Nothobranchius furzeri: one gene and its partner. The protein of the gene in region 1 interacts with the protein of each later gene in a pairwise test. Links are inferred from orthologs where the notes say so. Each region holds a gene or a part of one and is shown on either strand. Other genes may lie near its edges. The genes, in order: ercc6l2 and si:ch211-127m7.2.

What was found.
Region 2: the proteins of ercc6l2 (region 1) and si:ch211-127m7.2 interact in binary tests that used the Homo sapiens proteins (3 or more experiments, as listed by UniProt). The two-hybrid records come from large-scale screens. The link is inferred for Nothobranchius furzeri from reciprocal best matches to the Homo sapiens genes ERCC6L2 and CYREN.

The regions. Positions count from the first base shown.
Region 1 is NC_091757.1:51,349,013-51,352,835, forward strand, and holds part of ercc6l2 (DNA excision repair protein ERCC-6-like 2), read left to right. Parts: intron 1-914; coding exon 915-1,067; intron 1,068-1,374; coding exon 1,375-1,458; intron 1,459-2,558; coding exon 2,559-3,447; intron 3,448-3,823. UniProt on the Homo sapiens protein: Promotes double-strand break (DSB) end-joining and facilitates programmed recombination by controlling how DNA ends are joined in a spatially oriented manner during repair.
Region 2 is NC_091744.1:72,125,567-72,128,928, reverse strand, and holds si:ch211-127m7.2 (cell cycle regulator of non-homologous end joining), read left to right. Parts: upstream 1-1,197; 5' UTR 1,198-1,662; coding exon 1,663-1,769; intron 1,770-1,865; coding exon 1,866-1,968; intron 1,969-2,161; coding exon 2,162-2,488; 3' UTR 2,489-2,575; downstream 2,576-3,362. Other genes in the region: uncharacterized protein, read right to left, coding at 2,798-3,361. UniProt on the Homo sapiens protein: Cell-cycle-specific regulator of classical non-homologous end joining (NHEJ) of DNA double-strand break (DSB) repair, which can act both as an activator or inhibitor of NHEJ, depending on the cell cycle phase.

The DNA of each region.
Region 1 (3,823 bases):
GTCTCCTCACATCTCCTCCCTTGAGATACCAGTAATCGGTAATTTAAAGGTGCAATAAGTAAGAATTTTAAAGTGACGTAATCACAAAACCGTCTGCTGTTGCAGCCACGTTGGAAGTAAGGTAATACTGAAATAGATTTCTCTCTCAACCAGCTGGGGGTTTGTCAGGTTTTTTTTTTTTTTTTTTTTTTACTTTTAAAAAGACCAAGTTATATTCTCTCCTGCCTCCATACTTCCTGGTTTCAGAGCCAATCATATGTGAGCCCACAAGGTTGCCAAGTCAACACAAACACTCCTGTTCCAGCATTTTTTATTTGGCACTGTCAGCGAAGAGCAGCAGCGTTTTGGACAGATTGTTAGCCAGTAAGCAGGAGCGACCCAGAAGTTATTTCTTGTGCCTCTAAGAACAGCACGGCATCTTTTCGTTTTACTCTAAAATCGGGTGAAGAGTCTAGACGCTAACACTGAGCTAACAATGCTAACGGTGAATTAGTAAAATATTGTCTGCTCTAAAAATATCTCAAGCTATTTTTTTAATTACCAACAACTCGATGTTACAGTGAAATATATTTATCAACCTACTGCACATGACTCGTCATCGCTCACCATCTAGAGTCTTCTGGCGCTGAGCCGTAATGGGAAACAGCTACTCAGAGCGGACTTGTTTCTTTTAATACAGAGACTGCGGTACCTACATCTGACCACAAGATGTCACTCTTACGTCATGCATCTTTAACTTCTGCAATAAATATACATTTCTATTTGAGAAAGGTTAGAGCAGCTCACGCTGTAACTGTTCCTAAAATAAAGATTTCATATTTTATTCGTTCAAACCCTAAATCCTCTCTTCTTGAGTGTAAGCCTGATGCTAAACCTCATGCTAACGGTTCAATGCGTGATTTTATCTTCACTAGCAATTGCAGAGCTCAGTTGTTGGCAAGGAGAGCGCCCGGAGGTACTTTGAGGCGGTGCAGAGGAACGACGTCTACAAAGGAGAACTGTTTGGGATCAAAAATCTCTTCAGGCTGCAAATGGAAGGAACGTGTCTCACATGCAGGATTCTGGAGGTCAGAGATCTAGCATGTCTTTGGTGGCCTGTTCAAAATCACATTATTGAGAGTTTTACACACACAAACGAAACAGTTGCTGAAAGATAAGTTAACAAAACATTGAAAAAGTGCATTCCTGTGAAAATTGTGACCAAAAAAAAAAACCTGGAAATCACAATTTAAAATGTAAAGGAATGAGCCTCTTTATATTTAAAATTCTTGCAAACATCTAAAGTTTAGAGGTTTGCAAGAATAGATCATGTTTCATTTTCATAATCCTGACAGCTCCAAGTTGTGGTTTGAATGTTTATATTTATCTTGTCAGCGGGAAGGACAAGTGGAGGCCGGCGTGATGACAACAAGAACACACAGAGGGGGCGAGAAGGAGGAGGAGACGAAGGGAGATGGCGTGAGTAGCTCTGCCGTTCTCAGAGACACGGGGCTCTCGTCTTTCCCAAACCTTTCCCATCTCCTCTCCCAAGTGGATCACTCACTCCCTTATTCCCATGTGAAAGAGGGAGTACCTCAAACGGGCTTCTTTTAATCTGTCAGTCAAACCAACCCACGCATTGTCATGCTAGCAGACCACAGCTCACGTCCTTGGAGTGGAAAAAAAGACAAACTTCTTACAGAAATCATCTAAGCACAGATATTTAGTGAAAAAAAATCAAAAGTTTAAGTTGTGTAAGCTGAATAAAACCCATTCACCATTCGATTATTTTGGTTCGTCTTTAGTCGTAGTGCCGAATGGTGATGAGGTTCTTGTCTCAGCAGCTGGATTTAATGACTTGCTTGACCTAATGAGAGGAGTGGACTTAAAAAAAGTCCATTTTTCTATTTAATTGTTATTTTGTTTTCTGCCAGTTGCATCATAGTTGAGGGCTCATGTCACATCCGTGTTTATTAAGATTTGTTGTTGGGAATCATCTGTTTTCCATCGTCCAGTGAAACCTCCCACCTAAAGATCCATCCATCCGTTTTCTGAAACCGCTTGTCCACGTAGGGTCGGGGGGGGGGGGGGGGGGGGGGGGCACTGGTGCCTATCTCCAGCGGTCAACGGGCAATCAGGCGGGGTACACCCTGGACAGAGAGCCAGTCCATCGCAGGGCAACACAGAGACACGCAGGACAAACAGTCATGCACACACACACACACACACACACCTAAGGACAATTTAGACAGACCAATCAACCTAACAGTCATGTTTTTGGACTGCGGGAGGAAGCCGGAGTACCTGGAGAGAACCCACGCATGCACAGGGAGAACATGCAAACTCCATGCAGAAAGATCCCAGGCCGGGAAGCAAACCCAGGACCTTCTTGCTGCAAGGCAACAGCTCTAACCACTGCGCCACTGCGCGGCCTCCACCTAAAGATGGTATTAAAAATGGAAATGAAGAATTTGTAGCTAATTCTGTTTCATATCATTCTCTTGCTTGTGTACCACTCTTTTGGCTATCCGTGTTTTTCTTTCGCTTTATGCTTTTTTTTTTTTTTTTTTTTACTTCAGGAACCCGGAGATCCACTCAAAAATGGCCCCCTGTCTAAGGATGAAGCAGCTGAGAAGACGAGAGACACGTTAGAGATCCCCAGTTATCTCCTGGACTTCAGCTGTGGGAGTGGATCAGAGGATGAGGAGGTGCAGGGGCTAAAGAGAAACCCGGGTGGAGATGATGACAACAAACGTGAGGGGGCAAGTTCGTCTCCCGGTCGGATGGGCCTCCTTCAGCTTGGCTTCTCTAAACTCCTCGAAAGGGTGAAAGAAAAACCAGACGCAAAGGAGGACAGCAGCTCTTCTGAAGAGGCTGAAGATCAGCGTGTAGAGGGTGATTCCACTGCCAGCTCCAAGACGTCCAGTCCAGGAAATACTAGTGCTGTCAGTCTTCCCAAATGCGAAACAAAAAACAAATCCTCTGACTCCGACGGAAAACATGAAGGTAATGGAAACATGTTTAACGAGGGGGAATACGCAGTGAGGCGGAGGCAGGGTCTGAAACGAGGGATGGATAAACAAACTGCATCGGATGACAAGAGCGATGAAAATTCCTCACCGGACAACAAGAAAGCTCATAAACTCAAAACTACTGTTCCCGACGTTCACCTATTTGACAGTTACTCCGATGAATCAGACGATCTAGACTTCGAAGCGAAGATGTGTTGCGATAAAGATGGTTGGAATCCATACAAACGAGATGGAGGACGAGGAAAGGCCGATCACATCACAAGAAGGCACAGTGCTGGTGTAAGGAGCAAAGCTGGATCTAGATACAGAGAGGACATAGAGACATTCACATCTTCAGAGGACGAACAGACGACCTCCACCGGGAGACGAGCATCTCTGAAAAGGCCGAGATCTCCGGCGTCTACAGAAAAGAAGAAGACCATCGACCATGTCCTAGGTTTGTCTGCACTAGGGGTTGTATGAACTAGTCGACTAGTCGACTTCACGGCTCTGTAGTGACTTTTTATGCCTGTCATCGACTAGTCGCTGTCACGTGATAATGACTGACAAGATGCAGTCCTCCAGCAGGTGATGAGCTCCTCGCGTCGGGAGGCGGAGGCGACGCGCTGTGTCAGAGCGTCGGTACTGACACCGGCGGTAAAACGGACATTTAACCAAACTCTGACCTTTTCCCTCTTGCAATTTTACCTTCCCCTCACCCCCATCCTAATCTTAACCAGCTTGCGCATGCAAAGCTCTGATCATTGATGCGCTCCAGGCATCTGCGTCCTGAGAACCGCCAAATCAGGTGTCACCACCTCAAAAACAAATTA
Region 2 (3,362 bases), on another chromosome or scaffold:
TTAAAGCAATTTTTAGTTAAATCTGAGTCTGTGGTTAAAAAAAACATTCTTACTACGTTCCATCTGCTGTGACTAATAAAAGTCTGGAGAGAATTTCAGGATTTTATTCATTTATTTATCAGTTCAAACCTCTAATGATATGTTGTTCCTGAAATGCTCTGAACTGGAGACCTTTTGGGCAAAACATCAGTGTGTGTGTGTGTGTGTGTGTGTGTGTGTGTGTGTGTGTGTGTGTGTGTGTGTGCGTGTGTGTGTGTGTGTGTGTGTGTGTGTGTGTGTGAGAAACTTTTTTCTCCTTTTTCTTAATTTAGTCAGATATACAAGCTGCTCTTTACAATCAAAGCCTAAGCTCTTGCAGAAAAGAGGCTTAAAGAAGATAATTAAAAGGATTGGGTGCACAATGGCAGCTTGTTGTGCAGAGTGACAGAAAGTGAAAGTCTTATACAGGGATGATGGGAGCAAAATGATAGGGGGAGGGTGGAGAAAGAGAAAGAGAAAGGAGTAAAAGAGAAAAGAAAGTGTCACGCAGCTCGACTCTGAGATGATCTGTCGGTAGTCGGTTTCAGAACGTGACTCCGGGGCCAACAAGACAGATGTTCTTCACTAGATTACACACAAACACAAAAACGAATCAGGAGCGGAGAAAAAGGGAATGTGATTTATTAAATGTGCAACAGAAATTGTGACAAACCCAAACTAATTAGAAAAAGATTACTAGAGGTGTCGTTCCACAAACATTTTTCAGGAAACAATGCCAGATATCCCTCTCATCACCGTTTAATCTGAATCGAAGGCCACTTTTTTGTAACTTTTTTGCACACATCTAGGCAAGAAATTTAGAGTTTAGATTATTTTTTCATAAAATAAACATCCTGTCATTTTTCTTATATTTAAACACTATTTATAGTAAATATTTCAACACTTCAAAGAGCTTATAGAAGCTGTGAGCTCAACAGCACTAGCCACTGCTTGTCTTTACTTTGGATCGATTCAGCACTGTTTGCAGGTAGAAAATATAAACATATAATTATTTTAAATGGAAAATAGTTTAAATTTTGAATAAACATCCCAATGCAAAAAATGAAACTGTTTTAATTAGTCCATGAAACATCAGATAAAAATTGCAACAACTTGAAAAAGTTTTAATGTTTCACATTTTTCTTGTTTATATCTCCAAACATTCCCAGGCATCATCCCTCATTTTCAGTTTTTGTTAGCATTAAGTCGTTTAATTTATTTGGGTGGAAACAATATAAATATTTCTCATTTGGAATATGTAGGTTATTCCTCTGCCGATTTCATTATTTATTTCATTTTTTAACTTTCATTTTTTTAATAAATAAAAAAAAGCCTGAACGGTGAGAAATCACAGCAAAGTTTTACAGACTCCTTCCTGAAGCGAAATAAAAGAGATTTCTCATGCCATCTAAAGGTCACGTGCAAGCATAGACTACATACGCGTGCAAGGTGTTTTTTTTTTATTTATCGTTTCCATGGAAAAACAGTGTTGTGATGGTGCAGGTTTCCTGTAGGGGGCGCTCAGTTCTGTAATTGGTCATTTGACGTCACAATGACGCGTCGTTTTCTTCCGGTTTACGTTTATTTTGGTTAGACAAATGTCTGTAGGAAAAGAGAGGATGTAAAGTTCTGCGTGTGTCAAACATGTCTGGGAAACACCGGACGCTTCCTTCGTGGATGGCAAAGAAAGAAGATAAAGCAAAAGAAAAAAAGGCGCCACTGAAGACTCAGAAAAAGCCGAGAGCTGCAAGGTAAAGGGATGGGAAGAGCGTGTCAGGTGTTTGGTTCGGTTCAAGTTCTCAGCAGATCTCTTTTACTAACAAATATATCTCACTAAATGTCTCCAGAGCTGTTTTCTACTGTATGAACGAGGCGGAGCTGGTGGAAGCCGCTGCTTCGTGTCTTACCGATGGTTCCTGTGAGGATGTGCTGCTACTATTTCACCAACAGGTGGCACTGTTTCACATGTTTTAATTTATACCCATTTCTACAATGATTAATCTGCTGTGTGAACTGTTAAGTGTTTCTATTTATTTAATACAACAAAGTAAATGTTTTATAAAATAAAGAAAAAGCTCCTCACACTTGTGTAAACATTATTGAAGCTCCCTGGACTAATTCTGGGTGTACGTTCTCCACGCAGGCTAAAAACCAAGCCCAGAAGACAGCAAAACCCAAGCCTGATGCTTCACGGATAAAAGAAAAGCGTTTTACTGAGATTTTAGAGGAATCTTCATCAGACTGCTCCGCTGACCCAGAAACTACTTCCGTTTCAGAAACAGGCTTGGACATTACAGAGGCCGAAAAGTTGCCATACATGAGCCCACAGCATCCTGAATCCGAGGGCGAGAAGGATGATCATAAACTCATAAACACGGATGTGGAAACTGAAAAAGAAAAGCAGATGGCAGAAGATGCTGTAGAAGAGGACGAAGCCTTGCGGCTTGTACGGGAGATTTTTTTCACTTGACCAAAATAGTTAATAACCTTTGCAGAGTTGTACCTGTCTTTTTTTTCTTTGTGGACAAAACTAAACTTTTTAGTGGGGAGAATAAAACTTGAGTGATCTGTATTCACTTTTTAAAAAAAAGCTACATGGAAAGTACGGCAGCTTTAATCAGTAAATCAAAAATTCTGTTGCACATTTTCAGAAATCAGTTGTGCATGTTTTTGGGGGCAAAAAGTGCTGCAGCAGCAGTAAAATGCATTTTAGCTAAATAGTTTGTGTAGTTTTCTTTACAGGTCACATATTAAATCATGCAAACTCATTTAATCATAGTCAGGGCATCAGATTCTTCCCTGCAACTCCAGTAAGCACAGTGGTGACGACCAGCTCCAGCTGCACACCCACGCATAAATAAAACCAAAGGGTCAAGTCTTCCCAGGTCACATAAGACTGATACGAGAGCAAAAAGCCCACGATGCCAGTCAGGAGGAGTGTGCTTGATGCTGCCTGGCAGACCATGCTGAACTTGAGTGTTGATCTGTCTTTAGCGTAGGCTGCTAACAGCACCGCCAGCAGAGCAAAGGCCACAAACGCGAGTGGAGCATAAAAACACAGGATAAGCAGCGTTGCTACAAAGTTAATGTTCCTCTCAGAGTCTACTTCATCCGGAGAGCTTCTTTGCCACCTGCTGCAGGTGACTTCGGCGTGTCGACTTGTTTGGCAGAAGAGGAAGGGACTGATGACAGCTTGACTGGAGGAGATGAACACACCAGCGAAGTACACCAGTGAGGTTGCCATCTGAAGGAAGATGAGCAGGAGAAGCATGGAGATCCAGATTAAGAACAATGTTGAGTTCCTCGATGAGAAAGTATTAATCGTGGAACATCTCTGCTCCATG